Neodiprion lecontei: one gene and its partners. The protein of the gene in region 2 binds, or shares a complex with, the protein of the main gene of each other region. Links are inferred from orthologs where the notes say so. Each region holds a gene or a part of one and is shown on either strand. Other genes may lie near its edges.

Region 1 (5,120 bases), on a different chromosome or scaffold from region 2:
TAACGCATACGTTTCAATTTAATTTTCAGGTGGGAGTGAGCAGAGCGGTTTCCGCGCTTCGTCCATTCCCGGATCAAATTCGACTGGAGAATGTTTTGAAAATAGGATTCAACCCAGGTTTGATATTTTTTATCGTGTTGCATTTAAGAGGGGGAATTGATAAAAATTTATCAACTCGATTCCACAGGGCACGAATCGTACTTGGAGAGATACAACCGCAGCCAGAGAGCCCAAAAGCTGAAGAAATTAATGGCGCGCAGTCCGGGAAAAGTGACTGGTTTGAAAAACAACCGAATACAATCCGGGGTGAAGGATCTTTTAAAAAAATCATTGAAGGGCAAAGAGACTCCAAAGTTGTCGTGGATTGAGTAAAAACGAGGTGTGATGGATGAAACAAGTAAACACGTAAAAACAAGATAAGATTTTCACTTTACATCGTTTTTCAATGTATAAATTTATATTATAGAAACTTTTGTATAAATAGAAATACAAACACGTCTTATTACTGAGTAAATATACAATCCACACGTTTTTTTATTTTTTTTTTTTCTCTTACTCTTTGTTCTGCCTTCTCTAGTTTCCTTTTTCATTTTGTTTTCTCGTGTTTTCCGAAATGCAAATAAATAGTGTAAATAAATAAATTAAAGCTTTGAACTTGAAAAATACATGTACGTAAGAGATAAATAATACAATGAGATAATCAAGAGACGAGATCTGTTAATCGCGTAATTCATTTTTTCGCCTAGACTTTACAGTAGTACTAATAATAATAAAATATTGGCTACACAATTAGTCTACAATTTCAAGGTATAACCAACATAATTAAATATAAGTATAGAACTAGAAACTCTACGCATGTTTCATATTTATCTATCGAATACAATAATAAGGGTTGCACGTAAAACCCTATGAATACTGGTAACGGGAACGTCGTTCAATACGAAGGGAAAAAAATGTAAAATAAAACGAAACAACAATCCTATTGTCAAAGAACTGTTCAAGTTTAACACATTTCATTAAAGTTAGTTAAATGCACGGATTTTCTATTGTAAACTGCTGACCGCCCATTGGGAAACTTCAGTCGGAAGCTCGGGATAGTTTTTAACGGCATCGGCTATCTGCTGCCAACCGAGTGAAAACTTATAGAGCTGATGCTCCTTCTCAACTCGTGTGTTCGGCCCTCCAACAGGCTGAATCAGCTCCAAATTCTGTAATTTCAATCATCCGTTATCTATAATGGGAGTATAAATGGCACATTGATGCTCACCTTGATGTGCTCGAAAGCCTTCATGATCACAGGTCGCTGGACGGTTTGAATAGACGAATTCTGATTAGCGAACTTGACGTATCTGTTTAAAACCATTTCGAAATTCAGCGGCTCGTCGTCGTATATTTCAGTCTGATGTTTCATGGCGATAATCTGCAAAAAGAGGTGGATAAAATCGGAAATTCAACAGACTCGCGTCCCTTCGTTCGAAGGTGAAATTCTCACCAGGCACAATTCTAGAACAGACAACCCTTGAAGGGTGAGAACCTTGTCGTCCTGATGGAAGAACTTATTAGCCTCAACGAAATCATTCACTTCTAATTTCGGATGTTTTTCGGACAGCGACGATATAACGAGGGCCAAAAAGTTTCTGAAACTCCTCTCGCTGACATCCAGCTGGTACATTCTCTTCAAAAAATTGACCATAGTCATGTTTTCGGTCAGACTTTTTATGTACTCGTTCCATCTGGCGCCGAACTGCGGATTTATTTTACAATCCTCGTACTGCTGATCGGTTTCGTTTACATTTTCGTCATCAGGCAGACTGAGGAGGTGCTGGAACAACTTGAGACGATCGTCAAAAGCTGAGGTGGGTTGATCTGAGCCAGATGTGTCGCCCGGAAAAAGGAATATCTGTCTATGTGAGAACCTGGACTTGACACGCTTCTCCAAAAGTTCGATAACATCAAGCCTGCAGGTGATTCCAAGCACGCATATCGGGGCCTGGACAAAATTGAGGACAACGAGGGATATATATAACTATTGTTTTATTTCTTGCGTGATGCTCACCTGTGCAGATTGCGCAACGTCGAACAAATTGTAGAGCAGAGTCTGGTTTCGGTGGGCGCAAAACAGGTCGAACTCGTCCAGAATAAAAATTACCGGCTTGGACTGAGTCTTGTCCCCAGACTTGAGACATTCAAGAAGGAAGCTCAAGTTCTCTGCGAACGTGCCAAATACTTTGTCACCGACTGCGTTTTCCAGCTGCATCTGACGTGTGGTGTCTTTGAGCGCAAGACGATCATCCGTATGAACTAAACCATGCAAGTTCACGACAAGTGCTTCATCTTTGAATGATTTTAACGACGACAGCTCTTTCAGTACGCTGTTGATGAGCTAAATTCAATGAAAGATACGTTTTGTAAAGATTTACAGGCTACTTTGCGTTACTCTTGTGTCTTTTAGTCTCCGATATTTGCATACATGTTTTTGGCCACATCTTACCGTGGTTTTTCCACATCCTCTGGGACCGATCAGTAAGGCCGAATTGCTCTCGCCGTTTTCAACGGTCCTTTTCAACAAATCCAGAATATGTACTCGCTCCTTGACGTGATGCCTGAACTTTGTTTCTGGACACATGATTTTTCGCTTCAGATACTTTCTGGTCAGTAGTATCATATTGTCGTGGAAATCTATAGCCATGTTCTGCTTTTTGCTCATAATTATTCTTGTTTGTTTCTGAGTTTGATTTCTTTCACTATCGAAAGATAATGATTACAACATTTTTAGCCCGTTATTCGTGCGATTAGTTTTATAACATTCATTTATCCGTACGGACGATTAAATAAACGTTTAGGTTATGACGGTTGCGTGCGGTGCGATAATCGTTGGTGAAAAAATGATGAATAAAAATCGCAATCCGATTACCAAGAAATAGTGTCGACTAAAATAAGACAGAATTTTGTATACTTACGGTGAAAAAATTCACAGTTCAGGGAGAATTTTATTTCAACTTATTGGATTTAAAAAACGAGAACTTCACCGCACTCGGCAGGCTGACACGGTTAAATGTTTACAATTCACAGATCCAAACACAAACACTTTCGCCCAGTTTACTGCCCGAGCTGTGATCACGACCCTTGAAAGATCCGTAACCATTTCGGGAAAATTGAGTAACGTCCGTCGGTAACGTTGATCGCATTGCTTGTTTTATTCAAACAGCGCATCAGACGCTGCGCCCTGACGGATTCGCAATTTGAAAAAAAACTTTCTAAATCAATGTTTGTTATTGATATTTAGTAAGCCATCGATTTTCTCGGAAACCAAGCCACAGTGCATAAATTCCCGTTATCCTAGTGACAAAACTTGGGGCAAATACCTCTACAACATACCTGCAATCCATTGAAACCATGTCCGAGGGTCCCCTTTCAGATGCACAAAGTGTGTTCATTCCATGTATCTCCTCTAGGCATTCCATCTTTCAGCTCGTGAGCTCGGCACCTAGCCCCGAAATCTTCCGCAAATAGTCTGCATCCAATTCTGATGAGACACTTTTCCTATACGGTAAATTGTCAATTTGTATGCAAGAATGATATTCCGGGTTGATGATGATTCGAGTATGCATAATCTAACGACCACTTTTTATTCGACAGCACCGCGAGCCACGCGTTGTAACAATGAAAATCGAACCGGTGAATTTCGCTGTCTCGATACTTGTAAATTTAGATGCCATGCTGTAAAAATTCTCTGGCGTACCCTATTACGAGTAAAAATCTACATCCCCGCGTTCATTTGACACGTTTTTTTTGTTTTTTTTTTATTTAAGCATTTGAAACCCTTGTAAGGGTTTATATCTGCATACAAAAGTTTAGTTTACAATAGTCTTATAATGGTTGATGTAGTTATTATACTTATTTGTATTGAGTTTTGACAATTTATACTTTGAGGTTACATGTATTCAGAAAGCATTGAATATAGATGCAGGCGCTTAAGTTAGGTTTACAAATTATTAATTCAATATTCAGTGGGGGGCGTAAGTTAGAGTTAGATAGATTGCTGAAAAACTCTATTCTTTGTTGGTCAAATAATACGCATTGCCACAGTACGTGTTTAATATTTTGTTCAAATTCACCGCAGTCGCAATTTGGGCTGTCTGTAACATTTATGCGAAAAAGGAAGGCGCGTAGGTGGTAGTGGTTCGCTCTGCAACGGTTTATCGTGACTATACATTCTCTTGAGAGGTCTTTGTTGTGGAACCAGGGCTTGCAGTTTTCACGGAAATAGTGTGTAAAGTATTTTATGCCTTTAGTTTGGCCTTGTTTTTTTATGACGATATTTGTTTGTATATGTATTTTGATTCGGACGAGCGGCCATTTTGATAACAGCCATTTTGATTTTTTCCTAGCCGGATGAGCAGCCATTTTGATTTTTGCTTAGCCGGATGAGCAGCCATTTTGATTTTTTATCGTCGGACAGTTTGATAATGTGATTTTCGCTATGACGTTCGCTATCGAGCGCCCATTTTGATGGCGGCCATTTTGATTTTTTCACCATCACCCGTAAACTTTCACGCTAATAGTTTGTCCCCAGGGCGAAAAATAATATTTTCCACGTACTTCGAATACATTCTTTTGTGTTAATCGACCGGATGGTAACATCGCAATTAGATAGACAGGGAATGTTGATGACGATCAGTAAACTTTCAGGCTAATAGTTTACCCCCAGGGCGAAAATTTTACATTCGACATACCATTTTGATTTTCCGCCGCTACCCGTAAACTTTCACGCTAACAGTTTGCCCCCAAGGCGAAAAATAATATTTTCCACGTACTTCGAATACATTCTTTTGTGCTAATCGACCGGATGGCGACACCGCAATCAGATATGCTGGGGATGTTCACCACAATTAGATAGGCTGGGAGTGTTGATGACGATTCGTAAACTTTCACGCTAATAGTTTTACTCCCCAGAGCGAAAAATAATATTTTCGACATACTTCGAATACATTCCTTTGTGCTAATCGAGCGGATGGCGAGTGGGGATACCAAGCTTGAACCTTTCACTATCACTCCCCCAAATTGTTACGATCTATCTGCATATATTAACTCAACGCATCCGATGCAGACTCGTCAGT
Region 2 (7,749 bases):
GCTTTGTTAAGCGAATTAATAAACTAACCTGACAGCAGATTTACGGGTACAACCCGCAGGGATTTGCTTAATTTGTGGACCAAATTCATTAACGCACAATTAATGAGCTTGACGTTCAATTTTAAAGCCGGAATAATAATCGTTGTTTCATTACACACAATGATGAGTCTGATAACAAATCAATGAACATATACACGAGTATATACTCGGCGTGCCAGGAAACGAATGACATTTTAATCGCACACTAGTATACTATATAATAATACACTCGTTATAAAACCGTGTGCCGAAACTGAGAATTCCAATTATCCCTACGGCATAATCTCGTCAACAGTATTCACCCGTATTATAACCGAGTAATTAATGTCAATGAATACAATAATTACACACCCATTAGTCGCGTTAGTATACCATTTTTTATTCGGATATTACAATAACGATTGGGATATGAGGGTTGTTTTTGTTTCCGCTGCATTGGCGGTCCATTCGTGAAGCTTTGAGCTTTGCAAGAATTTTCCGTGTGTAAAATAATACCCAACAGGTGAGAAGTGAAATACTGCGAATCGATTCGTACCTCTTTTAGCTGGGCCCGATTTAATTTTTCACCCGGGTCGACGACCTCCGTGTTTTCTTTAGTTACTTCGGGGCTCGCATTCCTGATGACTTCCCTGTATTTTTCCAGATCAAGTTTAACATCCGCCAACAATTTTTCCTCGGTAGAGATTTCGATGATATTTTTCATCGCATCAAGTTTCGTCAGAAGTTCTTCTTTCGATATGAAACCCAGGTATTGCAGGCACTCCTTGTACTCTTGGGATTCGGTTATGGCGCAGCTAACAGCCTTCGCGTATACTTCTCGTAGCTGATTTCGAAACGGGGCAAAAAATTATTAAGCGATTCATCTATGAGATCCTGGCAAGTAAAAACTCGGCCACGATGACTTTCTGGAGGTTGGCTGGCAGAAATCGGTACCATTAATTAATTTTTGCGCGATATAGTCGTACATTGAGTACCTCTTCAATTATTATATTCGTAGAGCTCTTTTAAGATAGCAAAACATACCGGAAATATAAATAAAAGCTCAGATATATCAGAGCCTGGGTTGAAATCGTTTCAAAATTGGTGAAAATCTAGTAAACTCGTTCGATTTCACTTTGCAATAGTTAATTTTATTCAAAAGGCGCATCGTTTTTTCATTGGCATCGTTATATATTTTTTTATTTTGTAATATTGTATCAATATTGACTACAATAAAAAAAAAAACTGATAACATCGAGTTGAATGTTGAAAGAAAAAAGAAAATCTCTTCCAGTGAATTCATAGAAAACAGTCTTCTGAATAAAATGAGGCATTCCAAAGTGAAACTTTCAAATTTTCAACAGTTTTAAAACATTTAGAAATGAATAATCAATTTTTTGTTCAAAATTTCAGTGTTGTCTAACCTGTGTATTTTCAAAGATTTCTTCACAGTTTAATATTAATAACAATTTCACAAATCTTGAATGTACGACTATCTTGTGGTAAGAATTAGAAAATCATTGCCGATTTTTAACCGCTCTGTCTCCTCAAAAGTGAGTGAAAAAAGGTGTACATAGTTACTAAAATAAAAATAAAAAATCGAAACAACAATAAATACAGATCGATCTCTTCTGCGGACTTACGCCGATCCATCGTCAATCAAAATTGCAAGTCGAGCGTAAAACTTACTTGTTTACCCAAAGGCGCGTTAGGTAGATCCGAGGTGAGGTGATGCAAACATTTTAGGGTAATTTGAAAGGTGCGAGTGAAGGTGTGAACCTGATTTATTAAGGTAGACAGTAATTCCTGTATGGGAAAGATAGAGGGGGGTAAGGCGTAATTAATTCATTCAATTTCATGGTTTTATAGGGGTAAGGAAATTGGTGCGTTTTATACCTTGAACTCTTCGTCGTTTAGGGAGTCGCGTTTTGTCACCGGCAATTTTCGAACGTATTCAGCAATCGATTTTAATTTTTTTATCTCATCCAGATCTTCGCTTCTCAACGCGGATATTCTCGATCCGATATTATCGCCGTTGCAGCACAACGAGTTGATATTCTTTCCATAAAAATGTTGAAACATACACATCTGAAAAGTAAAAAATGCTCTGCGAAATTACTGCGATCAATGCCGCCAGATTTTCGTTCTTTGTGACATATAACGTGTGTATCTGTGTTATAGGTTCTACATATATATTACGCATAATGCCGAAATATTTCATGTTTCTCGGATATTAATTCAATAACAATGCAGGCCTCTGTTATATTATGCGGCGTATACATTATATAACTACGTGTTCACAACGTGTAATTATAAGCACGTTCGAATAACATGATTAATGCTCGTAGCCGGTTATAATACGAGTGCGGTGGTGAATTATTCAACGAAGCCTGCGTAATACATTTAAAATTGTTTTACAACTGACAAAAAAAGAAGGGAAAATGGAAAAAATACACAAAGACGGTTAAAACGAGGAAAAAGCTTCACGTGCCGAATAAAATTACATACTTGTATCTAAAAAACAAACATCACGCGCATCACCGTCGATATATCTCGATTAAATACAGCAATTTTCGTACCTTGTAGCCTTGCAGGAAACCGTTGACGGAAAAATCATAAAATAAAAATATGTCGGTGAGTAACTGAAAAGCGCGCCCGGTTAATTTAAACGGGGTTTCCGTGGAAAGGACCGTGCCGTCCAAAACACCTGAGAGACTTTTCACTTGCGACGGAGCTTGGAAAACCTGTTGTAATGGATATATTATTACTGGTTTTATTATTATTCAGTGAGAATTTGTCGTTAAAATACAATTTCGGGAAATATTAATATTAATACTGTGCAGATTAAATTCTGCGGATTTATTTAACGAGGTGTAACCGTATAATAAAATTAGTCTTGCCTGAACTCGCAATTTCGATGTGACGTGATGCGGTAACGATCTGTGCGCAGCGTGGACCGCTGTCGCTACTCCGAAAATTAAAACAAATTTGATTGTTTTTGAGTAAACGCTATAAATAAATTGAAAAAAACGGGTATTCGTAGGTGAAAAAAAGTATTAGTCACTGGCAGGTGTAGATAACGACAAAATATGTGGATAATCGGATTGGTCAGACTAATCAGACAGATTAGCAAGTATTTGAATGCATAAATCATTTGCAATTCAATGAAAACATCAAGTAAATCGATAGTGTAACCGTAATGTTCGTGCGACGCGGAAAGAAGGAAATTAGGAAACTAAATTCGTAAAATTCGATGCTATCAATTAATGCCATATATTTTGTTTTTTTTCTTTGTCGGAAAGACTTAAACTTGCCTATCAAATATTTAATAATTACGGGTTCTGAATGTTTCAGACCTCGATGTTTGTTTCTCTAATTGTTGAGAATCAGTTACAGTAGACGATTTTTTTTTTTTTTTTAAATATGAACACTCAAGACATATAAATCGTCCAATACATAATAACGAATTTTTTTTTATACTGCTTTCAGAATTGAAAATATTACCTTACGGATAAGTGAATCGCAATAAAATACGTATAATGTTCAAAATTCTTCCTACGCATATTTACCTGAGTATTAGAATGAAGTTTTGCAAAATTTCAGCTGAGAAACTTTCGAAATCTGGAATGATTATGAGCAGAGGTGTGTTTGAACCATATTCCTGATACCAGGCGTTCAGCATACTTGAGGTGCAATGGTTTTTCTGTATTTCTGTGCGGTTATTCTGCGAAACAATGAATACCTCATGAGAAATAACTGAAAAGTGCTCATTGAAGGGCTTGTAGGCCATTATAAACAATAATTGAAAGAACAAGTGAAAAGCGATCTTGACGAAATTCAATCAATAATTTATACTTTCATGCTTCCCTCGAAGGAAAAAAAAAAATAAAATAAATAGGATGGACACTTGAAAGTAAACTTTGGCCAAAGAACCGAAGCACAAATATAAAAGTACACCGCGCCAAATCAATTACCCTGGAATTGTTAATTAGCTGAAAGACTGTTTCTTCCATCATATTTTTCAAGCTGTAGGAGTCTCTCTGCTGCATAATCGCTATGTGTGAGGTAATATCTTGGAATTTTCTGGCTAGCATTTGAAAAAGCGCCCCGTGATCGGGTAAATTGACACCTAAAAAAAAAAAAAAATAACCGTGTATATTATTATACCTGGTGAGAGTCTTTTTTTACCTATAATTATTATACCGTTAAAGTAGAACAAATTTGTCATCGTACTTGCCGGTTAGTAAAATTGCTGTGGGTATTTCACCGGACAGATCATCGTAGTTTATCGATGAGACGTATGACTTCAAATCTTCCGAGATTCTTGCGAAAATGTCGGAATTTATTTTCTACAATAAGTAATCGATTCTTATTTTGTCTTATTCTTCAATTATGCAACGTGAAATTGCGGTCAATTGATGAGCCTCAAGTTAGCGCATTTCACCTGCGCTGACTTTTTACCCTTTTTCCTACCTGAGTAGACTTTTCGATGGTTGACCAAACTTCCTTGTAGGCCTTGTACCACGATTCGTTGAACAGCGGTGCTTTTCCAGGCCTTTTCTTTCCGCGGCCAATTCTATAGCTTCCTTGGAAGGCAAAAACCCCCTAAAACACGTATAGTGAAATTTGATTTATGCTGCATTATTGGTCGTAAAAATACATGCATTCGTTTGAAACAATCTCGGTAGAGAATTAGATTGAAACAAAAATCCGATCGAACTCGACGAGGGCGTAAAAACTAACTGTAGAAAAATTAGCAATCTCCAGGCCAGAAAACTCGATGTGAATAGAGCCGAAACGCTCTACATATATCTCTTCAAAATTATATGAGTAAATTTTTACAGAACCATTTACGTTTCCATTAAATTTATCATCGAGGAATTGGTACGGATTCAATATCAAGGTTTTGCTGAAACCGCGCTTGGCAGCTAAAAAAATTAATTACGACAATCAAGTTTGCGTTGGTGGATTAATTTTCTAGAAAAAGAACCTACCGTAGAATCAGCAAAACAGGAGCCGAGTGAAATAATGTATAAAATAATTAATCGTCAGCTTTCAAGAACAAAAAGTTTTAACAAACGTTAAATTGGTGATTTATTGAAATATTGACTAATAGGTATTTCGTTTCGCTATTTCTCCCGCCAAGCAGCTTCAAAAATAAAATTGCGGAAAACGGTCGGCATAGAAATGTCGCTACTTAAAATACGAGATAACATATCGATATAACATAACGATATTCAGAAACTTGTATCGTTACGAGTATCTGGGGATCGATCCTGTAATTTCACTTTTCACATTTCCCACCATCCAATTTTTTTGATTAGTTTGCAAAGTATTGTCAACGAATGAGAGTGCTTCGATGGTGGGAAATGTCAAAAGTGACATTACAGGATCGATTCCCAGATATTTAAATTAATTTTAACAATTCCCAAGCCATGAAAAAACGCGAAACGACAGAAAATGATAACAAAATAAAAATCAGCCAATTATCACTTCCTTTGTACAATCCCTGCCAATAAAATAAAGCCTAGTTTCAATTTCTTAGCCAATTAGGCGATAAAAAGCACAGAAATCACGACAAACAAGGAATAGGGATCATCCTCCAATCAGAAATCGCGTTGAGAATGCAGAAATGAAAATTGCGATCCCTGATTGGATACTTCTAATTTCCAATTCTACTCCGTACAGTCCTAACGAACATTCGTAAATGCCAAATGCATTGTGGTTAGGTTACGCTGAGAGCGCAACAGGTAGCAAGATAACGTACCTTCGAGACAGAGACGTTGTCCATTTTCGCCAGGAGATTGATCAGTGCATCTGATTTTCTCGTCTTTGCACAGTTGCGAACCGGTGCGACAAAAATAATCGAATCAACTGTCGAATCCGGTTTATATATGTATACACATGAACCGTACAATAACGGTTGGTCATAGAGCTGCGCCGACGCTAACGGAGCTGCGCAACGGCTGCGCACGAATGTTCGCGTCTCGTTGCTTTGTCGGCCTGCCACTCAGTCCCAAGTCACGCAGCGCTAACTGCCATTTGGAATCCAGAAGTTGGACGCTGACGGGGATTTTGGATGGCGGAAGAGGTTTCAAGGACGACCGCCAGGCGGCGCATCGAAGAATGGAGCGCGGCATTCGACGACTGGGACGTAGAAAGATATGGAGACGAAGATATTTGGTCTCCCGCAAGCGCCGCCGGCGGTAGTATTGGCAATGCGTTTCGAAAGTGAGATTGCTCGTGTCGTTTATTTTGGGATTAGTTATCCGGGAAAACATTGACAGATTCAATGGGATGCAATTTTTGCTTGCATCTAAATTGATCCAACTATTTATGATTCAGAGATCTGTTCAGATCCGGATTCGATGATGAATTTACAGATCTTTTTAAATGTACAAAATTGTTGGCGGTTAGATTAGATTAGATAATGAAGAAATTCAATTGGATTTAACGGTATCTATTCATCTAAATTTAGATTATAAATCTTCACTCCGTTGACCCGAATAAGTCTCAGTTCATGTAATTTTAAACAACGCAATAACGAATACGAATATGTTTGTTAAAAATTTGTATTACAGAGAAATGACCTTTTTTATTGTATATCGTATGTATTTCATCGTACATTTTTGAAAAATTATGTACGTACCAGTCCTGAGTTTATAGAGTAATCGGTTAATTGTAAAACCTTTTACATCTATATATGGAAAGATATCGTGGTAGATAATATTTGCAATCGGCAACAAGTTCGTTACACTTACTTTTAACATGGTAAAAATGCCTGACCGACCAACGAATCGAGTATTTCATAAAGCATGAATGCTCGAGAAGGAATGAAAATTTCTAACCGTACATCTATGCGTTGAAATTTTGTTCACGTGCAAAATATGCAAAATTTTCAATTCGCATACGTTGCATTATTCCACTTCGCAGTCTTCTTTTTCGGTTGCGCATTTTTTAATCAATTCCCTGGTCTCTCCTCTCACAATCTGACGAAACCCGTACGGTATTTATAATCTGATATCGTGTGCGCGTTACGTGACGTTCATATAACGTGGCCTCGGGGCATGCAGCAATCTCAGTTATGCCTGCATTAGGCAATTGAACAAGCCATCATCCGTTGCAGTTTTAGACAGGCTGCCGAAATACTGAACACTCGCAATATGCAGAGAACTGCGCAGCAAATTCCAGTAGCGAATATAGATCGCGTGAAAATTCAGTGTACGATGAAATTTATCGCAAGCTCGTTTCTCCGTACTGCGTGACGATTTGTCGTTTTAAGTAGCATTGTCCAAGTTCTAGTTGAAAGCAATATATTGCTTCCGTTCCCTGAGGCAAAATCCCGCGTCGCCTCGTTTTTATATTTCTTTGTGACAGTTCAATTTAGTCCCGTACAAGTCCCGCCTCGCATCTCGCAAAAAAAAAAAAAAAGAAAAGAGAAGTATGAGAAGAAACTTCTCTCCACATTATTTTTATAATTCGCTTCGACGAGCCTCCGTAGCATTTTAAACAAGCAATGTAAGACTCTCTCTCAGGGGTGAATTCCGCCCTCTCGCTATACTCTTTTTCCGCTCTTTAATTTACGTGCAAATTTAATGTTTACAAAAACTTTTTCTTTGAATATTTCCTTCCTCGCCGAAAGATAGGTAAATCCGTCTAACAGATAATGCCGGGATTTGATGGTCAAATAGTGTTCTGATTTGTATCAGGAGTTACACTTCTTATTAACGA
Region 3 (4,431 bases), about 2.5 Mb from region 2:
TTTTCGAGGAATTGTCTTAAAGCTTTATCCTGACATCTCAGTAGCTGAAAAAACAAGCTCAAGAGTGCAGTTGGCTCCAGAAGTCCTTTATTTCGAAGTAATATTAGTGCCCTGCAGAACGTCTGTAAAATGAAATGCGTTAATTTGCAATCTTCCACACCTGTACACCAAACATCAATACTCTTTGGTCACCATTCTCATTCCAGTGTCCAGAACAGTGTTTTGTGTTTGCAGAATATCCACAAGCTCTTGAGGAAAAGTTGTCAACTCTTCTGAATAGCAATGAGCTACCTACAATGATAGAAACAAGGCAAACATAATACGACGAATTCTGAATGAATGAGTTTTGAGTAATGAACTGAAGTTACATACTTTGGATACTCTAGCTTGAACGGTCAGATCATTAACTAAGTGTTCCAAGGATTTTGTCTTTATCTTATTTCACATTTATTTATAGCAAAAAAAAAATACAAAAGATACTACTACAGTAATACAACTAAAGAAATAATTGAATGGAAATAAATATTCTTAACAGCAATATTATGTTCCCACTAACCATAGAAAATAGTTAAAAGAAACATGAAAACTGGCAAGTCCACATTAAATACATACATTAAATGAAATCATACAAATAATTCCTAACATTGAACCCAACTGTCTTAGAAATGATAACGATGAAATCATAGCTGACGCAACACTTATATTTGGGACCATCTAAATTATTATCACCTACTATGCTCAATAGTCTTAACTGACACATGGTGGGTATTTGTGCCAATAGATTGGCAGTCAATCCTACTTTTTCGTCAAGAATCGCGTAGAATATCGCGAGCATTCTGTCCAAAGTAAATGCCTTTGGCCCTAACTGTGTGTTAAGTTTGGCAGGTTTTTTAGTCACAGTGTTTCGCCTTTTCTTTTTACTACTACGTTTGACAAATAAGCGTTTGTCATCTTTGGCTGGATTATAAGAAGCCAAGTAAGCAGCTATGAGCATGTACTTTGCATAGAACGGCAGTTCAAAGCTCAAAGCCAATTTCGTTGTAGATTCAATCTCTTGACACAATTTAGTACGTTGCTCAGAATCATCAGTAGACACTCTGAGATAAACAACTTCTAAATTTGATTTTAAAATTCCAGATATATTCCGCCACAAAGAGCGTACATCATTCTTATCAATTTTACCCGATTCAACAGGTTCAACATATTTATCAAAATTTATTTTAGCCATGTACCGTAGCTCATTACAATCTCTACAACATCTAAGAAACACAGATAAAAATAAATTTAAGTAATTCACGTAAAATCCATCCTCGTAATCCTTAGGCTTGTATAAAAATAATACTTTCAACATGTCCTCCCGTGTGTACTGTGGAAAGTGAATTTTAATAGGATTCAATAAACCATTTTTTGAGTAATACTTTTCCCAAACAATGTCACTGACAAAGATTGTGCAAAGATCCAAACCAGTCAGTTCTCGCAGCCTCACAAGTGCAGGCAATAAATTCACATCCATATCGCGCAGCCGATCACATTTGTCAAACACAATAACTATACGACGCTTATCGTTTTGTACTGCAATTTGTAGGTAAGTAATAAAGTCCATCATGTTATCGCATTTCTGGTAAACTGTGAAATTATTTTTCGAATTCATTTCATGCATAGACAAGTCATTTAAAATGTGTTCATAGATGAGTTTACTGCTGTAACATTCAACGCAGTTGATGATGCAAACATTATATTTAAGGTAAGCCAACAGAGATTCAATAACCAGAGACTTGCCACTTGCTGTATGGCCATATACAAAAATGCTTTGCACCATTTCCTCATCTGAAAAACCAATTAGAGAAAACAAGCATTTTATAAGATTGTCTCTGCATATTATTTTCTGTCCGAGAGATTTCAGGCATTTTTCCATAGTTTTCTTCATTGTTAATATTAATAGTCCAAGCACACTTATTAAACAATTGAAAGAGTACAAATTATACTCTCCAACTATCTATTAAAGCTTTCGGCAACAGTCTTTATGCTTTATCAACTCAAAATACAACACTGCTGATCCCAATGCAACTTGACAAAACGCTGCTCAGACCTGAAAGAAAATAACAATAGATTCTGTTTATTATCTTTCGTGGTGTTGAGAATAATTATGCCAATTGAAAAAATGATATCCTTCTGATTGAAATTAAACGTGTTCTGTCAAGTTACATCGAAAAATCAGACCGCTGCTTAAGAGAAATAAAGTGCAGACTCTGGCTGTTTACAATGTAGCCAATTCGAAACAACATCGTTCTGTTGTACCTAACACCACCTATCGCAAATGAAAATTGCACTAGTCTAGGGCAATAATGTCTTTTTGTGTAATAAGAAGTGGTTCTGCATAATTGCTGTTAATAAAGCTTTGCTTATGAGAATAGTTACTATTTATTATAAATTTATAAGCATTAAAGTGTAAAGCTAAGTTCTAGTTTAAGTAGTAAAAATGCGAACAGGACGGACTTACAGTAGAGATTGCTATAAACATCAGCCTTACCTGTGCAAGAAAAATCACCAATTCATCGAGACTTTTGTTGAATGTATCAGGCGTCAGTCGGAAGACTTCCAAAGTTGATTTGTAATGACGGTGTTGTTGCAAGAACTAGATTATCAAGCATTCATTGTTATCTCAGACCATTATGCATAATATATTTATTTCAATGCAAAATATTATATACCAGCTTACCTCGTCTTTGTATGACTCCGGATCACGCTTGATTAAATTTTGCAGTTGAGGAAGATTGTCCGGTAGTTGATTGTTGTGTCGTACCATTTTTTATTGCGGAAAAATTAACGAAATACTGAAAATTATTATTTGGAGGTTATAATCATATTTTTAACCAAACAGAATATTCAGAGTTGAGTCGATGATTCACCCAAATGTGTACACTGTTTCCACATATTCATGGAAAGTCGTTCATTTCTGAGTACTTACAAGTTTATTATTTATTTGCAACCATCCAAACGATATCTAGACGTTTTGAAATAGCACGTGCACGTTTGATGCGTCGTTGTGCTAACCAGCGCTGAACATAACCTACAAATTGTCTGTGACGCTGATTGCAAAACCGAACGACGTTCCCGCCATAGGCATCCAAAGATGAAAGATGACGGGGTCCCGCATCAAACCATCATCAAACACACAGACGTTAACTGAAGAACATAAAGACGGATACCCCTGTGTAAATTTTTGTGACCAATTTTCGGCGGGCAAGTGGCCGCAGGTGGGCCTGGGAGCGTAGGAGGGTCTCTCTATCGACTCTACCTAACGGGCTCGCACCGACATTCGTAGCAGCCAAAGTAGTGTCCGTATGGAAGCTTGAGATTGAGTCGGTACAGAGTGAGTACCTGATGTCCACTTAGAAATGTCGATCAACTCAATTATCCCCGCGAAAAGACGCGTAACCGCGTCCACCGCCAACCACCCCCAACTACTTCCTAACACCTCCAACCACCCCCTACCAACTCCTACCACCTCCTTCCACCTTCGACCACCTTCCCCAGGGGTCCGTTCTTGGGCCTCTGCTATTCTCATTATTCATCAATGATATCGGCGCTAAGCTTGCTCATTCGAAGCGAATTATTTTTGCTGATGATACTAAAATTTATCTAACCTGCCACCCATCTGATTTAGGAGAAGGTTAAGCCATGATCGCACACGATGTTGGCGTCATAGCCGATTATGCGGCTGAAAACTGCCTCAAGCACAATCTTAATAAGTCCAAGGTTTTTGTTACGGGGAGTGGCACGCATCTGAATCGTATCGATCTGGAGGATCTGCCCCCTATCTCGGTTAATGGTACAGTGCTTCCTTATGTTCACGAGGTTCGAGGTTATGCAAATTTCCAAAAAAGTTAATTTCTCCCTGTATCGTGGCTCAAACATCATCGAAATGCGCTATCGCGCAAACTTAGGGCTAAACTTATTACTGCACTAATCTTTCCCTTATTCGATTATTGCTACTTGGTACATAATGATCTGACTGGTGAGCTTAACCCTTATCTCTAGTGATTGCTTAATAATACAATTAGATTTATTTTTACCCTGCGGCGTGATGAGCGTGTCACACAGTTTCGAAAGCAAGTGGGTTGGCTTATAGTCAGAGTTAGGCGTCTTTACTTCTTAGGTATGTTTCTACTTATGTTAGGTATGTTAGGTATATTGGAAAAAATTCTGGTATTTGCTTCACAGTATACAGAATAAACACTGTCTTTGTGCATGTGGCGCAAACCGAATCTGCCCGTAAGATTTTGTCTATATAATGCTACAAATCACGTTTACACATGCACGTAAGTATAACGTATTGTGATTTTAAGACAATAAATTTCGTCTAAAAATATCACAGAACAATCAGCTAAGTGCTAACTGATTTGACACACCACACACAGCAATTTTAGC
Region 4 (7,197 bases), on a different chromosome or scaffold from region 2:
AGCATCACACATACCTAATCGGTCTCACATACTTATCCGACAGTGAAGATACGATTGGATAGGTTAGTTTGTTCTTTAATCCTCGATATGCAGCCGTTGACGGACTCGAATTTCGTCGGTGGTCAAAGCAGAGGGAAAACAGGAGGGGTTAGGTCAGGTTAGGTTGAAGTTACGCGTGCCGAGAAGCTGCGTCTGAGCCGAAATAAGTGTCGAGAACGCAGAAAATGTAACGAAGTATAAACGGTGATCCTGAGTGAAGTTTGCCGAGTTAACTGAGGCCACGGATTAATATTTTCCCGTGATAAGTCAAGGACGTTCAACCCTGTTCAGTCGCTGCGCAACAAAGAGTCCCTCTTTGACTGACTGACTAACATAAGTGCGATACGTACGTGCTAGCAGCCTTGAAAATCTTTAGCAATCGTTTCTGTCTATCTGTATGTGTGATTTGTCTACCATCTCTCATCCTTCTTTTTTTTTTCTTTGCATTACGGACGAACGAACGTATGTACGAATAGATATGCGTAAAGTACTCACCTTTCGTAATTACGGTGATTCGGAGGGTGAGGGACGAGGAATAACTTCGCGGTTTTAGTATCACTCGGAGTTAAACGCAATTCACCTCAAACCAATCGAGGCATTTGACATTTCAGACTGTATGTGTTTATGGTAATTAATAAATATACTCTAAGGAGCGAGAACCGTCTTATCACACACGCACAATTTACTCAGAAACACCGAATGCGACTATGGATTCTACCGAGCGTTACCAACACCGAGAAAATACGGACGTTTACCACGATTCTTACACGCTCTGAGGACTTTGAAACCGGCGATTACACTCCCGCTTTTGTTGCAAACGTTTTTAATCCTCCTCGCGACCGAATTAACTCGGATTCTATTCTCACGGACGAAGGATTTTCAAAATTAACTCGTTTTCAAACCTATGCTTTGGCTGCACTGTTAAAAGGTGTTTGTATTTTGTTTTTACCGCGCACACTTCAAATTCACTGCACACCAGATGGCGGTACTTACTGGACAACATATCCCGTCATCTTGTGCCGAAATAGCCAAATGTGATCATACGTATACGCAGATAGTACCGAAATCGCGATTTTCTTGAAACCGAAATTTGTCCTGATATACTGAAATGCCGTTGAATAGCATCAAAATAAAGCATTGATTGAACACAGCATTATTCATAGACAATACGTAAATTGAAGTAGTTACGTTTATTTTTGTTGTAGATTATTTTGACTTTGGATTTAAGAACCAATTCAGGCGAAGATAAAATTAACGGACTGGTGGTAACAGTGTTTGGATTTAGAACGTCAATTCATGGGTCTACAATTCGGTCACTTAGAAATACGATTTGCCGTTTTCAATCCTAATTCCCTGCAGTTGCCGTAATAATGACGTATGGTTAGACGCGTTTTCCTATCTCGCTCAAAATTGTTAGCTAAGTAATAAGACAAACACGTTTTTCTCCGATTTGCTTTTCATTTGTGAGACACCTGATGGTTGAATTTCAAATAAGTGAAAGCCTGCGGACGAATTTCGGGGCGAAAGACGAAATGTTCAACATCATAACATCACATAGCATTTCTCACAACAATAAACTAAAATTTTTGCTCGTTACACGTAAAACCGAAAGAAGAGAGTTGCTTTAAAGTTACTGAAAATCACAAATACAAATATCAAATTATTTCATCAAGAATTTTTTCGCGAAATCACGCCGGATTAAGAAGGAAAAAAATAAACGACTAATATACATAATTTAACGCTTACGGAACTACGTAATACGAGTGAAACCTATGTACATACATTAATGTGTGTTATTGAGAACGAATGGCTATAAAGAATAAAATTGATTTTAAAACTGAGTAATTCCAATGAAGAAAATCGACTATACGAATTTTTGTTTACTGAGCTTATGAATGATGCGTATATGTGAATTATCGTTACTAAGGCACTATGCACAAGTTAGAAAAATTGGAAAGTAAATCACCAAATTCGTTACGCAGTTTCTTGCTGATCAAGGAATTGTTTTAGTAACGTATTATCCAGCGGGATACTGAGATACTCTGCACCATCATAATTCCGCTTGGAACGCACTAGTTTGTGATCTATGAACTCAGTTAATTGAGCCCTGAGAGCCGTGTCTGAACTAACAAGGAAAGCCTCACGTGCGTTCGAGTAGAGATCCTTCAATAGCATACCTTAATAGAGAAAAATAAAGATTTATTATTAGCTAGTTAAAAGATGAATATATACGTCATCGTCTCAACGATTATAATTTCGTTCGAATATTGCAGAATAGATGCAGATACAAATCACGGGATAAGTAATTAAACACAAAGACTGACCAGGATAGTTGTCGCTAGTTGCGTGTTCTAGTTGATGTTTAATGAGAAGCACATAAATAGCACGTGCGTTCGAAGTCAGGGAGAGAAAAACATTGAGTAGAGAGGAGAGGGCGAGCGCTCCACTCTTCTGTACCATAATCGAGCTCTCAAAAGACGTCTCTGCATCATATGGCAACATTGTTGTTACATCCCACCAACAGAAATTATACCGTGAATGCTTTACGTTGTCCCATACTGAAAAATCATGGAATGTTCATAATTGTACTCGACATCTATCAAGTTGATATTTCAGTTAAATTAGTGAAAGGCATTCAAGTAAGACATATGCAGAAAAACGTCATACCAAAGAGGGGAAATTTACTGTTACCTTTGTGTACTATTCAATTTCGATTCGCAAATTCGAATAGTTGCTTACTGATGATTTTATAATATGCCAAATAAAATGAATTCAAAGTTTATGAGTAATGAAACTTACTGAGAGGTGTATTAATGTGATCGACGGAAGCAATGAGTGAAAGATTTGGAATGCTAGCTAAAATCGAGAGAGTATCTTGGGCCTTATTGGAGCGGAGCATTACTCCGTCAATATTATGCACTAACAAGTAAAGCCGATCCTCGGGATTCTCTCTGAGGGTACTTTCGATCAAGCTTAGACATTCGTTTGGATTCGTCGGACTCTGCAGCCCCAGAAGATCGGTTGTTATACCATCCAGTATCTTTGGAAATAAATTAATTGGTCAATAAGGAAAAATACACGAGTCTGGTACACCAACGGTGATAACTGATTCACCTCTTTCAACGTAAGACTGGGGAAAAAACCGTTCACAACAAGTGTAGGATGATCAGACAGAATTTCTTTATGAAAATCATTCATCAAAATCCTTTTTGATCCCAAACCGTGAAGTAACAGACTGTAGCCTTCTCTGAAAGGAAAAAAAAACTTCAATTTCGATTATCTCATAAAAGCATGTGATAATCATAAGCGATCTACTAGAAATATTGTTCTTGTTTAGTTAAAATATTTCGTAAAACATTGAAGAATAGTGCATAATTATTTTATTTACTCCAATATGCAGTGCCACATTGGAAACAAAGCTCTGTAGTCCCTTGAGAGTGACCTGATGGCTTCTTTATGTTCTTTAGAAACAAAGCTCTGCTTGGATAATAATTTTTGCAATTTTTCTTCATCCATTCGTGGGTTCACCAGCCTTCCTAAGGTTCGATCGGAAGTTAAAACCTTTTCCGATTGCATTTCGAAGTAATCATCCGTTTCCAGGTGCTGTAACAATTTTATTCATGTGTACTATAAAAATATAAATCATATATCAAAAAGTCTGCCACTTACAAAGGACGAAATAACAACTTAGCCAGCTTCCTTTCATTAAAGACAGAATATGAAACTCACGTAATCGGTGTAAGTGACACGTGTATTCCGTTTTGGTTTAGAAGTTGATAAACGTGAAGGAGCAACCTTTGCAGGTGTTTTTCTGATTTGCTTTTTGTTATCTTCTACATCACTCTCCGAACCTTCAGAACTTTTTACTTCTTCTCCCTCTTCACTATCATCAGATTCCTCATCAACTGATGGCACATATTCGTTCTCTTCAGAAACACTTTCACTCTCACTGGATGATTCGCCAGATATATTACGAGCAAGAGAGACCAATTCTAAACATTGATACAAGCATTTAATATTCAATGTTTCTCTTCGAAATGAGAGTACCCCCACATTAACTTGAAAAGACGATGGCAACAAGGGTAATAACGAGTTATATGATACTCACGTTTCTTGAATTTGTTACGAACACTGTGCGGGGTTTGTGCAGTATCTGTAACATTTTTTTGCTTAGCAGCATGCTTCGGTGTCTGAGGAGTGGCTGCTGATCGGCTGAGGGCAGCTTTTTGAGCCATTGCTCCACTTTTAGAAGGTGTTGGAAAATGATACATGCTGGCACCACTGACATCTTGTTCTTCGGTATATAATTCTGGGAAACATAAAACAAGAAATATATATGCAAAAATGTTCTATTATCGGTTGATGAAAAGTACTGTCCATACTACTTACAGGTTGTCATATTATACAAATATTACGACTGTGCTCGTGAACTTTTTGCGAAAATAATCCGAATAATTCTCAAATTCACCAGAGTTACTGTTCCTGCATTAATGAGTTACGTCAAAGTTGATTACCTGTTGGCTTCTGTACATCTTCGTCAATAATTTTCAATTCATCTTCCAACTCTCTAGCCAGCTCATCCGGAGTTTGTTCCCCATCACTACTGCTAGAACTAATCTTGCGGCTTCTCCTTTTCCGTTGCACTCCTGTAATACAAACGTGACTATAATGTATCTGCACACATAAAATTTGGGAATCCCTAGTGAAAAGCATCTATCTATAATAAATGAAAAGTATTCTTCCAGGGCTGTAATTTCAGCAATGCAGAATTCTATATGTCACCTAAACTCAATACATCTTTTCTCAACACGTGTCTAATCTTACAGTTTAAAACAGCGTCGACGAAATAATTTTCGCTTATAATCATGCAGCAATATTGTGAAAATGAACCGATCTAAGTCGGTAGTTCAACGTGTTGAAAACAATAACAAACGGCAGAACGTTTGACAATTGATTTAAATCGTTGGCTTGTTGCTGAGATATATTATTGACTGTTTCCCCGTATTAAACCTTTTGTAGAATCCTCTGTTGCTTGCTTCGAAGATGTTTTTAATCGGGTAGAACGTCGCAAATTTATGCTGCGTTCGGCCATCGGGAAATATTTGTTTGCAGAAGAATCAAATTTCTGCTCCAGACGGAGTCGGTAAATGAATAATGCTTATGAGGGTAGCACTGATACACCACGTGATATAACATAAGAGCGGGAATAACGTGTACATGCCTATATTTCTTGTGAGCCAATTACATCGTTGGGATGGCTAGAAGCCACCAATCATAGTGCAGGTCTGTTTCTAGTTGCAGGGCCTGCAAATAAAAGAGGCCGATCGTCGCCATTTTGTAAACTCTACGCGCCATATTCAAATCGCGAGGCGAGACGTTTTTTTGTTTGCATCGAGTGATTGGTAAATTTTCGAATTTCTCTGACGACGCTACTTGAATTTACTTCAAAAATCCCGTTGCCAATACATGTGTATGTAATTTTTTCGCAAACTGTATAAATATTAAGTAAAAGAAATAATCATGTATTTTTAAACATTGAATTAAAGGTTGGAAGTTTTTAAGAATATATTTCTCATTTACTGTAATTTTTAATTCAACGGTGTTCTAAGAAATAATTTTAAAAATAATTATATCATGTTCATTTTCAAATAAATACATCAATTGATTGTTCAAAAATAAAGTTTTTATTGTGATTCATTCCATCTTTCACATGAGGTACAAAGTTATGTACCATCATAACGTTATCGTAATGCAAACTCCCAGAAATCTATACACATGTTCTTTTTAAACAGGGTCTATAAATGAAATTGAATGACATAGGTGTTGTAAATTAATAAACGTGATTGTTAATTTACAAGTATTATTTTATTACATACATGATGTTGTAGGTATTAAAATAATAAAGAGAGAGAGAAAGAGAGACCACTTACATAAATTCAAATTCAAAAGACAATTATATACTCCCGACACTTTTCAACTGAGATCGATACCTGTGTATGATTTTAATAAATAATTAAACGCGAAAGGACTCATCGCTTGCAATCACCAATAATGATTGTCCAAAAATTTTGTAAAGTATAAAAAATGGAACAATCAATCAACTGAAGATCCTTTACATGCCAGTTTGATAACTTCAAACACAGTTCATTTTTGCAAAATTTGTTACAGTGATGTAGATATTAGTGCAGTCATTTTGACTTCCACGACTTTTAACATTGTATTATGTACTTTTATAGAATGTGCTAAACACTATTCTGCTTATTTGTTTTTGGTTGTTAAATGTTAAAATGCAGACGTGTACATTTCAAGTTGTAAAATTCCAACACAACCATATATATATATATCTTTGTCATTTAACAAAGTTCTTAACATTTGTATTGAGTAAATACCGAATACAAGAATTTACTAATCCCATTTGCCCTAGCTAAATATTCAAATAATCATGCAATTCTAGTACAGTAATTCGGAAAGTATGCTGCAATCTAATATGTATATCTACATTGATTCCATAGGTACAAGAATTTGCAACGAATAGATGTACATCAATTTTGTTCACCCAACTGAACAATCCTTGTAAAATGAATATTATATTACTTAAAAAAGATAGATCGTGACGTAAAATATGCATAAAAGTAAACTTAAAATAAAAATGACTACGAATAAAATTTATAAATTGAATATATTTCATAAGTATATTGAACACTGTATTTCAAATATATTTTACTTTAATGAATTACTGTATCTCTTATTCCGCAGAAAATATCCGTACCGAAATACTCAGCGAATTCAAAATCACAAAGGACAAAAAAAGAAGATACCTCATGAACATTCACAGTTTGTTAGTAGAAATATTAAGCGTCGGAGAATCTGAAACCTAACTGAACACTGTTCCATTGTATCCATCAATCCTTCATACTGTTCCATTGTGACGTATCAGATACTCAATGTCCATTGACCATTGAACTTTTCATTCAAAAACTCATGCTATGAAATATATGCGCATCAAACATAGAACTTATCATTTGTTAGTTTTTAACAACTCGTTTTCTCAGGAATTTCATTGATTAAGACAAAACGATTTGTTTGTATATTACTTCTAAAGTATACATAACCTTCGATCTTTCGATAGCACAAGCTTAACAATTCATTTTCTTGATA

What was found.
Region 1: the proteins of origin recognition complex subunit 3 (region 2) and origin recognition complex subunit 4 are in contact, whole or in part, in a crystal structure (PDB 4XGC), measured with the Drosophila melanogaster proteins. The link is inferred for Neodiprion lecontei from reciprocal best matches to the Drosophila melanogaster genes Orc3 and Orc4. Residues at the interface, in NP_476904.1 of Drosophila melanogaster: Ala217, His250, Gly251, Leu253, Pro254, Tyr255, His256; in NP_477320.1 of Drosophila melanogaster: Lys395, Glu398, His399, Ile402, Lys419, Lys422.
Region 3: the proteins of origin recognition complex subunit 3 (region 2) and origin recognition complex subunit 5 are in contact, whole or in part, in a crystal structure (PDB 4XGC), measured with the Drosophila melanogaster proteins. The link is inferred for Neodiprion lecontei from reciprocal best matches to the Drosophila melanogaster genes Orc3 and Orc5. Residues at the interface, in NP_476904.1 of Drosophila melanogaster: Ile105, Gln107, Leu140, Lys141, Val144, Cys183, Thr184, Met185, Lys186, Gln187, Glu213, Cys214, Asp222, Leu225, Ile226, His230, Ala243, Thr244, His250, Tyr255, Ser258, Ser259, Arg262, Leu263, Ala270, Pro272, His302, Ile303, Leu305, Tyr306; in NP_477132.1 of Drosophila melanogaster: Ile72, Glu73, Tyr75, Ile79, Glu82, Asp86, Asp94, Arg130, Tyr291, Met292, Arg293, Ile294, Glu295, Leu319, Glu320, Leu321, Pro322, Tyr323, Tyr324, Ala325, Asp383, Leu386, Ala387, Tyr390, Val397, Leu399, Thr400, Cys401, Asn402, Leu403.
Region 4: the proteins of origin recognition complex subunit 3 (region 2) and origin recognition complex subunit 2 are in contact, whole or in part, in a cryo-EM structure (PDB 7JK6), measured with the Drosophila melanogaster proteins. The link is inferred for Neodiprion lecontei from reciprocal best matches to the Drosophila melanogaster genes Orc3 and Orc2. Residues at the interface, in NP_476904.1 of Drosophila melanogaster: Gly10, Cys11, Phe12, Val13, Tyr14, Lys15, Asn16, Ala18, Thr19, Arg20, Ser38, Leu39, Leu40, Tyr50, Tyr53, Arg54, Asn106, Pro108, Arg135, Asp136, Ala142, Arg177, Arg180, Asp308, His312, Gln316, Lys319, Tyr320, Met323, Phe327; in NP_731873.1 of Drosophila melanogaster: Ala331, Ile332, Lys342, Met344, Cys345, Ile346, Leu347, Asn348, Glu349, Phe351, Tyr356, Leu358, His369, Lys375, Thr377, Val378, Leu379, Val380, Val381, Asn382, Phe385, Asp392, Ser396, Asp400, Ile401, Leu402, Asp403, Asn410, His412, Glu413.

What each region holds. Positions count from the first base shown.
Region 1 is NC_060263.1:16,666,641-16,671,760, reverse strand, and holds origin recognition complex subunit 4, read right to left. Parts: upstream 3,124-5,120; 5' UTR 2,961-3,123; intron 2,745-2,960; 5' UTR 2,708-2,744; coding exon 2,492-2,707; intron 2,384-2,491; coding exon 2,057-2,383; intron 1,991-2,056; coding exon 1,493-1,990; intron 1,421-1,492; coding exon 1,268-1,420; intron 1,209-1,267; coding exon 1,044-1,208; 3' UTR 507-1,043; downstream 1-506. Other genes in the region: putative ammonium transporter 3, read left to right, coding at 30-117, 188-372.
Region 2 is NC_060262.1:25,317,314-25,325,062, reverse strand, and holds the start of origin recognition complex subunit 3, read right to left. Parts: upstream 6,012-7,749; 5' UTR 5,810-6,011; coding exon 5,786-5,809; intron 4,624-5,785; coding exon 4,492-4,623; intron 4,368-4,491; coding exon 4,256-4,367; exon of another isoform or gene 4,252-4,255; intron 4,148-4,251; coding exon 3,993-4,147; intron 3,743-3,992; coding exon 3,588-3,742; intron 3,028-3,587; coding exon 2,919-3,027; intron 2,763-2,918; coding exon 2,598-2,762; intron 2,107-2,597; coding exon 1,915-2,106; intron 1,825-1,914; coding exon 1,708-1,824; intron 863-1,707; coding exon 575-862; intron 1-574.
Region 3 is NC_060262.1:27,787,912-27,792,342, reverse strand, and holds origin recognition complex subunit 5, read right to left. Parts: upstream 2,638-4,431; 5' UTR 2,636-2,637; coding exon of another isoform or gene 2,531-2,635; intron 2,090-2,530; 5' UTR 1,928-2,089; coding exon 614-1,927; 3' UTR 533-613; downstream 1-532. Other genes in the region: protein SDA1 homolog, read right to left, coding at 1-122, 193-291, 2,531-2,635, 2,720-2,806. UniProt on the Drosophila melanogaster protein: Component of the origin recognition complex (ORC) that binds origins of replication. DNA-binding is ATP-dependent, however specific DNA sequences that define origins of replication have not been identified so far.
Region 4 is NC_060263.1:6,987,592-6,994,788, reverse strand, and holds the start of origin recognition complex subunit 2, read right to left. Parts: upstream 5,209-7,197; 5' UTR 5,132-5,208; coding exon 5,050-5,131; intron 5,002-5,049; exon of another isoform or gene 4,864-5,001; intron 4,686-4,863; coding exon 4,554-4,685; exon of another isoform or gene 4,429-4,553; intron 4,349-4,428; coding exon 4,148-4,348; intron 4,032-4,147; coding exon 3,769-4,031; intron 3,643-3,768; coding exon 3,428-3,642; intron 3,287-3,427; coding exon 3,154-3,286; intron 3,080-3,153; coding exon 2,839-3,079; intron 2,598-2,838; coding exon 2,364-2,597; intron 2,217-2,363; coding exon 2,014-2,216; 3' UTR 2,006-2,013; intron 1-2,005. UniProt on the Drosophila melanogaster protein: Component of the origin recognition complex (ORC) that binds origins of replication. DNA-binding is ATP-dependent, however specific DNA sequences that define origins of replication have not been identified so far.